Drosophila melanogaster: one gene and its partner. The protein of the gene in region 1 interacts with the protein of each later gene in a pairwise test. Each region holds a gene or a part of one and is shown in the gene's direction. Other genes may lie near its edges.

Region 1 (4,287 bases):
AAGCTGAAGGATTATGCTCCCTTGAAGGAAACCAGTCCCATGCTGCCCCTGCGACCAGAAGCCGGAGCAAGTGGAGGCGCAGGAGGATCCGCTCAGTCGGTGGCCAAGGCAATCGACAAAACAGTGCAGGACTTCGATGCCAAGTTCACCTCCTCCTTGGTGGCAAAGGCCTCTAGCACACTGGCCCATTCGGAGCCCCATATGGAGACGCTGAAGAAGAGCGATTCTGCCCAGGAGGAGCAGGAACACGATACTTGCGATCAGCGGCTGGCGGGCAGTGGAGACCTGGACCTGCCATCCTTGGCGCCCTTGGAGTTGCCCTCCTTCGATTACAGCCTGTTCACCAGCTCCTCGGCTCCTTCGTTGGCCAGCTATGCCGGCATGGCTGAGAGCTTCCAGAAATAGGCCTGGTTAAGATCCATTTGTAAAACTTCAACTAATTTGAAAGATCTCGTGGTAATGCAGTGCCCGCTGAGTGGTGATTAGGATTTAATTTTAGGCACGTTCTTCATTTCAACGTTTTGTGCAGTTCCCTTTGTGAAGTGTATTTGGGAATTCTCTAAATAAATTAAATTAGGTTAATTCACAATAATAATAATAATAATAATACTTTGTGTATTACAATCTAAGTCGTTTATTTGGCCATCAGACCCTTCAGCAGATCATCCATGTCGGTTTCGGTGTCGACATTCTTGAGCAGAAGCAGCACCTGTGCCTCCATCTCGCAGAGGATATCTGGTTTCTGGTAGGTAATGATCAGCGTGTTGAACTGGTGGTGGACAGAGAGGCTCTCCTGCGCGGGCTTGACCCCACAGCGGTCCAGTTCCGGGACCGGGATGACCTTGTAGTACTTCTTGTTCGAGGTGCGCACGACTATGGCACGCTTCTCGGGATCGGCGGTTACGCTGTATGTGTCCAGGGAGTAGGGCATGTTGCGGATGCGCCACTCAATGTTCTTCTTGGTGATCCGCTTGGTCAGCAGTGGCGCGGTGTTGCTCTCCCGCAGGGTGAAATCTCCGCCGGCCAGGGAGTCCGTTTCCTCGCCAGATCCTGGTGGCTTGTTGCCCGACCAGTTTAACTGACGCGGCTCATCGCCCAGCTCGATTTCCCACTCCGACTCGCCCATGATCTTGTTGCTCTTCGATTTCCAGGCCCGCCGCTGCACGATTCCCGTGTCCATGTTGTACTCCTCGGCCATTTGCCTGCCGTCCGGGAATTTGTAGAGCACCTTGCGGGCGCGGCCACTTATCATGGAGTTCTTCTCCGCCGCCTGCAGGTAGTTTAGCCAGTTCTGGTAGGACATCTCTGGGGATTGATGGGATTACCTAGGCACACGTCTCCGCCGGAGATTCGAATATAACAACTGAACGGGGCAGAAAATTTGATCGATGGCGCAAAGTTGAAAATTTGTTGAGAAGCACATTGCGATGGAAACCTGGCAACCCAGCTGCCAGCTTGTTTACATCGCAAGCCGGGTTACCAAGGCACTTTAAAGCATTACATACAATACCTTATGATCGATTTGTCTTGTAATATTTGGAGGTAATGGTTAATTTTAATGCAAAATACGTACTAATTCTTGCCATTTTTTTTACTTACTAATAAAATGATTTTGAAATTCGAATATTTTCCATGAATTCAGCTTTTTTCTGGCTACCCAATTTACAGTTGATTCCAGCGCGCGAGTTGGCAGCCCCGTGCGTACACAAAAAAACAGAGTTGACGTGGCCGGCGCAGTGACTACATAAAATATACGCATATTTCATCACGGCAGCGATTTAATTATTGCTATTTAAAGTAAGCAGCCAGTCACTCCGGCCGTAGTTTATAAATAGCCACTAGACCGTCCGTCCCGAATCCGTAGACTTAGCAGCTAATTTGGACGCATTTCTGCTTACAGGCGGCAGTCGAAAAAAGCGAAAATCCAAGAAGCGAAAATCGAACGAAAAAGGGAATTAATAAAACATTAAAAATGAGTTTGGTGTGGACTTTGATCGCCGGATTTCTCTATGCGGAAATCGCACTGGTCCTTCTGCTGGTGCTGCCGGTGCTCACTCCTTACCGCTGGAACCGGTTCTTCAAGTCCAAATTCCTATCGATGTTGGGACAACAGGCGCACATATATTTCCTGCTGATCATGGGAATTCTGGTCATTTTCCTCCTGGAGGCCATTCGCGAGATGCGCAAGTACTCCGGCTTGCAGCAGTCTAACGAGGTCCACTTGAACGTGGAGATGCAGCACAGCATGAAGCTGTTCCGTGCCCAGCGGAACTTCTACATCTCTGGATTCGCCATTTTCCTTGCCCTGGTCATCCGGCGACTGGTAAACTTGATCTGCACCCAGGCCAATCTCATGGCCCAGAGCGAGGCTTCCTTCAAGCAGGCACAGAGCGCCACTGCAGCCGCACGTTCCTTGCTGGAGAACAAGAACACCGAGAAGGCCAAGGAAGCCGGCGAGGATACCACTCTCATCGAGGTGAGTCCACGTCCCAAACCCCTGCATCCGATCCCCAGGAATGGCATGTCTAGAGAGCTAACACCTAAGACTTTGGAGTTCAATTGGCTACTACCAGCTGTAAAGATATGGCAATGCATATAGAAGGTGTGGTCAAAATATGGCGAGATAATGTCTTTAGCCGACTAAATCTATAAAATCTATACTTCATTCCACTTTCTGGTACATTTTCTCAATTGGTTTTGAATATAAGATACGAAAAGGCTTTAAATGTAGTCTATTAACGATATAGAACTTTAAATACCAGTATATATCATGATTAAAATCTTAAACGTAAACTTAAATCAGTTTGAAGACCGAGTGAATTTGTCATAGGCTTAGTGCTTTTGTTTTGACCGCAGCTAAACGTTTTGAAACCACACCCAAACACATATGTTGGGCCACGATAAACAGAAGCCACCACTCGAAAGTTTAAACCTCTTGTTAACTCTTTAAACAGCTGTCAAGACTGCGGAGACGTGTGCAAGGACTCACCGCCCGAGTGTCCTAAGTATCCCCACCTAGAGCACCCACCTTATATCCATTCCCAAACACCCAAAACGAACAAAAATCCAATCGAAACTCAAACGAAATCCGAATTTTGCAGCTCAACAAGCTGCGCGAGCGCGTCCAGGAGCTAACCTCCGACTTGAATCGCGAAAAGAAGGACAAGGAGGCGGTTAAGTCGCAGGCGGAGAGCATCAACCGCGAGTACGACCGACTCACCGAGGAGTACAGCAAGCTGCAGAAGAAGATAACCATCGGCGGAGGCGGAAACAAGGATGATTAAACTCACTGGAGCCAAGTCCAACATTTAAATAACGATAAGACTTATAAGCATGGCGGTGGGGCAGCGAAAGCAGGCACATTTAAAAGATTATAACGATTTCAAATCGATAGAAAGCACACACATCTTATTGTTAATCCTCATAGATACAACTACATATACCATTTGATAATGATAATGGGGTATATTGATAATGGTCCCTCAACTCAATGTTCGTTTCGTCCGAAGTTTTGTATTTAATTCGTATGTGTTAAGTTTTGTTTGCCACAGTAACACACCCAAAAAGCGTCGTGGCTATTAAAAGAACAACCAAAAAGTACCCATCCAGTTGTGATCGATTCGATGATTCATCTGTTGGCGCGGATAGTCCACATCATGTCTGATAGTACACGGCAATGACGTCAGACGTCGCAACCTGTTTGCATACTTGGAGCTTAGAAATCGGAGGCGTTACATTATCGGTGTGCGAAAAGGGCATCGAATATGTTTCCTTGATAATTACCCAGAAATGCTAATCAAATTCGCATATTTAGTGATCTATCGTGGTTTTGCAGTGCATACTTTAATCTTAACTTGAACAGAGATCATCCTACATAAATTTGCTGTTCAATAAACTGCATTAAAATGCTTACTCCCACCAGAAGCTTACAGAGAAGCTAGGAGCTTCAGATCTCACATAGTGCCACCATTTGGGTGGCATGTACAAACAGTCACCAGGTTGCAGGAGCAGCTGGTAGAACTTCACCTTGGCTACCAAGGGATATGTTTCAGGATCCAGTTGAGCAGCATCTATTCGCGCTGTATTGGCCAAAAACTCACTGTCGTGGGGATACAGATTGTCTGTGTCTGCAGGAGCAGCTAGGATGATCCTCTTCGAACCGAATACCTGGCACAGCAAGTTGTGCTTGGGATCGTAGTGCATGGGAGATACGGTTCCAGCTGGTCCCAGCCAGGCTTTGATGTCCACAGCTCCTGGGGTATCTTCGTTGCTGATGGTGCAGTAGTC
Region 2 (3,549 bases), on another chromosome or scaffold:
ATAGCGTACATACCACTACCGAATGCCTGCAGCCGAGTGAAAATGCCCCTCGATGGGCAGAGAATTTATGTGCTGACATTACAATGGACGCAATATGGCAGGGATTTGAGGCGTTTATTGATTCAGGCAGCACTCCAAGTCGAAGTCGGCATCGAAGGCATCGATTGGCCAGGACGAGGATGGGCCATGCAACAGTTTCGGGCCATGTGCCCTGGACAAAGATCCACCGAACCACACACTGGCCGTCAGGGGCGATTATGCATATACATATACATATATATGAGTCTGCCTACCGGCAACCGATGGCAGGGTGCTCCCATTCTTATTTTCAGCAATGCGGCACTAAATTTAGCAAATAAAAGCTCACCCGGCTCGTTCTTTGGCAGCCAGAAAGCGAGCCACTGCCAGGGGCATCGAAGCGGAGATACCCTGTACCGGACACCTAATAGTTCCTACACAAACTTTTCTCTATGTGCACTCCATCAAACATCTGGTGCCTTCTTGTTCACTAGCTCGCAGCAGCGCACGTGATACCCTGTAATTCGAAACCAGGAAGCATCCGCCTTGGACTTACGCAAATTCCCAGTGGTCCGCTGGTGGCTCGGCTCTCATTTTTGCATTTTTCTTCGGAAAAGTCCGCGCGCTGGAAAAGTCAACACAAGTTCACCTCTCCAAATTCGTGCGTGGGTGTGGGCGGAAGGTGGTGGTAGGTGGATGGTGGGCGGGAGTGGGTGGTTGGCGATTCGAGAGGGGGCGGTGCGTGGGTGGGTTTATTTTTAGCGCTGCTGCGACGGAAACGCGACAAGTCGGAGATTCTGCTTCCGCAATGTTGTTGTTTTTGCAGCCGTTATTATTAACAAATATTACGCTATCCACGGGCTCTTCTTCTTGCTTGTTTGCGTTGACAAATCTCGTTGCGCTTTCACAATCACATCAAATCGTGGGAAAACTGGTTTTCCCCCCGTTTCTGAGCGGTTCACTCTTCGGTTCGTGATCGTTTGTGTCCGCGGGCAATGGAAAGTCTTTGTTTTTCACACGCGTTTATCACAACAGTAAATAAAATATCACTTTAGCCAGTTTAATCAACTCGGAGAGCAGAACTTTTAACCGTGAGAAATAACCGCATACTGAAGTGGCCAAAATCTGGGAAATCGCCATGGAGGAACTCGCGGAAAATACCAAATCCATGGCATGCAAGCTTTATTATCAGTGGCGTAGAAGAGGGGCCTTATCTGATTAATCCTCGCTCTATAATTTTGAACCGCTTGCCATTTTTAAGGGCTCAGGATAATGAGATTTGTTATTCTTCCAGATTAATGTCATTAAATTAAAATCTTATGTTTCCCCCTTATGTTTATAAGAGTAATCGCAAATATTCAATGAAGAAAAGAATATTTTATTTTATTGAACTGCCGAAATCAACAAATTAAACGAATGTAATTAATTTAAATTTTAAATTATAACACCCAAAAAGTGTGATTCCCCGAAAATATCAGTTATTATACAACGTTATTTCGGAATTTGTAGAGGTATTTTCTGGCGCTCCCGCTGCGGTCACACTGAACACGAGTTTCGTTTCGGAGATTGAAAGAAATGGAGATTGACTTGGGATTTGCGGAAAAGAGCGACAATGGCGCCTGGCTGAGCAACCGCTACTTTCCCAGCAAGCTGGGAGGCCAGCCCGCATGGCTGGAACTGGAGGCCTTGCCGCCCACGTCGCAGCTGCAGTGCAGCAAGTGCAGGGCACCCAAATCCTTCCTGGCTCAGCTATACGCTCCCTTCGAAGACGAGTACAACTTTCATCGGTCCATCTATGTGTTCCTGTGCCGGAATTCCGACTGCCAGGAGGCCCAAAATGCAAGGTAATCCCTTCTAGCTCTGAAAACCAACTTGCAACCTAATCTTACCCATCTTTCCAGCAATTTCACAGTCCTCAGGTCACAGTTGCCGCGAAAAAATAAGTTCTTTTCGGAGGAGGAGCCGAGCGACGTGGGTCAACCCCTGGTAGGAACAGCAGCCATATTTTCAGAACATACTCATCATAATATGTTTTCTTAGCCCGCCGTTCCCTGCCTAAAGAAACTATGCGCCGCCTGCGGTTGCCATGCTCCTCACGCCTGCAGCAAATGCAAGGCAATCCACTACTGCTCACCAGAGCATCAAAGGGCCCACTGGCCACAACACAAGCCAAACTGCGGAGCACCAGAAGTAGCCACTGAGAAGCCCTTAACACAAATCGTTTTCCCAGAATTTGAGATTGTAATGGACAGCAACCCCGTGGAGTCTGGCGAGGAGGACAAGGACGATGAGGCTCGCTTGGCGGAGTTCCAGGAGCTGGAGTCCAGCGGGAAGACGGGCGACTTGAGCAATGTTTCCGAGGCGGAGATGGACAAGTACTTCGGAAACTCGGCGGCCGCCGATGACAAGACCTTTCGTCAGTTCAAAAAGCAAACAGCAGCCGAACCCGATCAGATCGTGCGCTACAAACGTGGAGGCCAGCCCCTCTGGATCACGAATACCGTCAAAACGGTGGAGGACCAACTTAACAAGCTGCCCAATTGCATTGCTTGCGGAGGAGAGCGTCAGTTCGAATTTCAGATTATGCCGCAAGCGCTGACTCTTCTGGAGGACGAAAACCTCGACTGGGGCGTCCTGGCCGTCTACACTTGCGCCAAAAGCTGCCCCATCGACGGCTACGTGGAGGAGCTTCTCATCAAGCAGGACATTGTGGCGGAGGATCAGAGTTGACATTAAAATGCGTACATTTAAATTTTATTCTTGTCAATTACGAAACACGTGAACATTTACTTCAGCTTGATGATGGGGAAGTAGCTGTGTTTGGAGAAGTCGAACTCTGGCTGCCGCTTGACTTCCTTCTGGTGACCGCGAGCCAGCACATTCATCACCACAAAGTTAGTCCGTGCGATTTGCAGGAGGTCCAGCATCTGAAATTAAACGAAACGCATTTTAATCCAGGAAAACCAATTCAGAACTACCATTGACTTACCTCCTGATCTGGGTTTTGAATGCTTTCGAGAACATTGCGGGCCTGGTCAAAGTGCTTGGCCGCATAGGTATATAGATCCTCGACGCTATGTCGCATCATGTGCTCCCGGACGTTTTTGAACTCTGCGTACGAAACTGGCGGAGGACTGGTGAGTGTGGCGAAGGGCAGGAAGCGTCGGTTGTAGCGGATCTCCTCGTTGTCGAACTTGGACAGCGGCAGTCGCACGCGTCCGTCTTTGGTCAGGGCGCCCATTGCTTTATACATTCCGCCGCAGAGGCTGAGTAGCGCGTGGTAGAAGACGATCTCGGCGCGGTACGGCCTTTGAGTCTTTTTGTTCTTTTTCGGCTTGGCCGCCTTGCGGTTTTTAGCCGCTCCGCTGCCGCCCGACTGGGTCTTACTTTGGTGCTCGGCGTACTCCTCCTGGGCCAGGAGGATGTTCTCCGTGCGCGTCAGCGCGGAGACCAGGAAGCCAATGAGGAACTCGTATGGATACCAGTAGATGTAGAGGAACTCATGCACAGCATATAGTTCCAGCTCAAAGC

The links.
Region 2: the proteins of CG13887 (region 1) and Zfrp8 interact in a two-hybrid assay, tested with the Drosophila melanogaster proteins (one large-scale study listed by BioGRID).

What each region holds. Positions count from the first base shown.
Region 1 is NT_037436.4:836,149-840,435, forward strand, and holds CG13887 (uncharacterized protein), read left to right. Parts: upstream 1-1,712; 5' UTR 1,713-1,972; coding exon 1,973-2,476; intron 2,477-2,954; coding exon of another isoform or gene 2,955-3,005; exon of another isoform or gene 3,006-3,101; coding exon 3,102-3,284; 3' UTR 3,285-3,783; downstream 3,784-4,287. Other genes in the region: CG42554 (uncharacterized protein), read left to right, coding at 1-405; CG13901 (uncharacterized protein), read right to left, coding at 635-1,303; JMJD5 (jumonji domain containing 5), read right to left, coding at 3,910-4,287.
Region 2 is NT_033778.4:24,132,423-24,135,971, forward strand, and holds Zfrp8 (zinc finger protein RP-8), read left to right. Parts: upstream 1-1,566; 5' UTR 1,567-1,593; coding exon 1,594-1,862; intron 1,863-1,919; coding exon 1,920-2,004; intron 2,005-2,058; coding exon 2,059-2,748; 3' UTR 2,749-2,804; coding exon of another isoform or gene 2,805-2,945; 3' UTR 2,946-2,983; downstream 2,984-3,549. Other genes in the region: Naa35 (N(alpha)-acetyltransferase 35), read right to left, coding at 2,805-2,945, 3,008-3,549.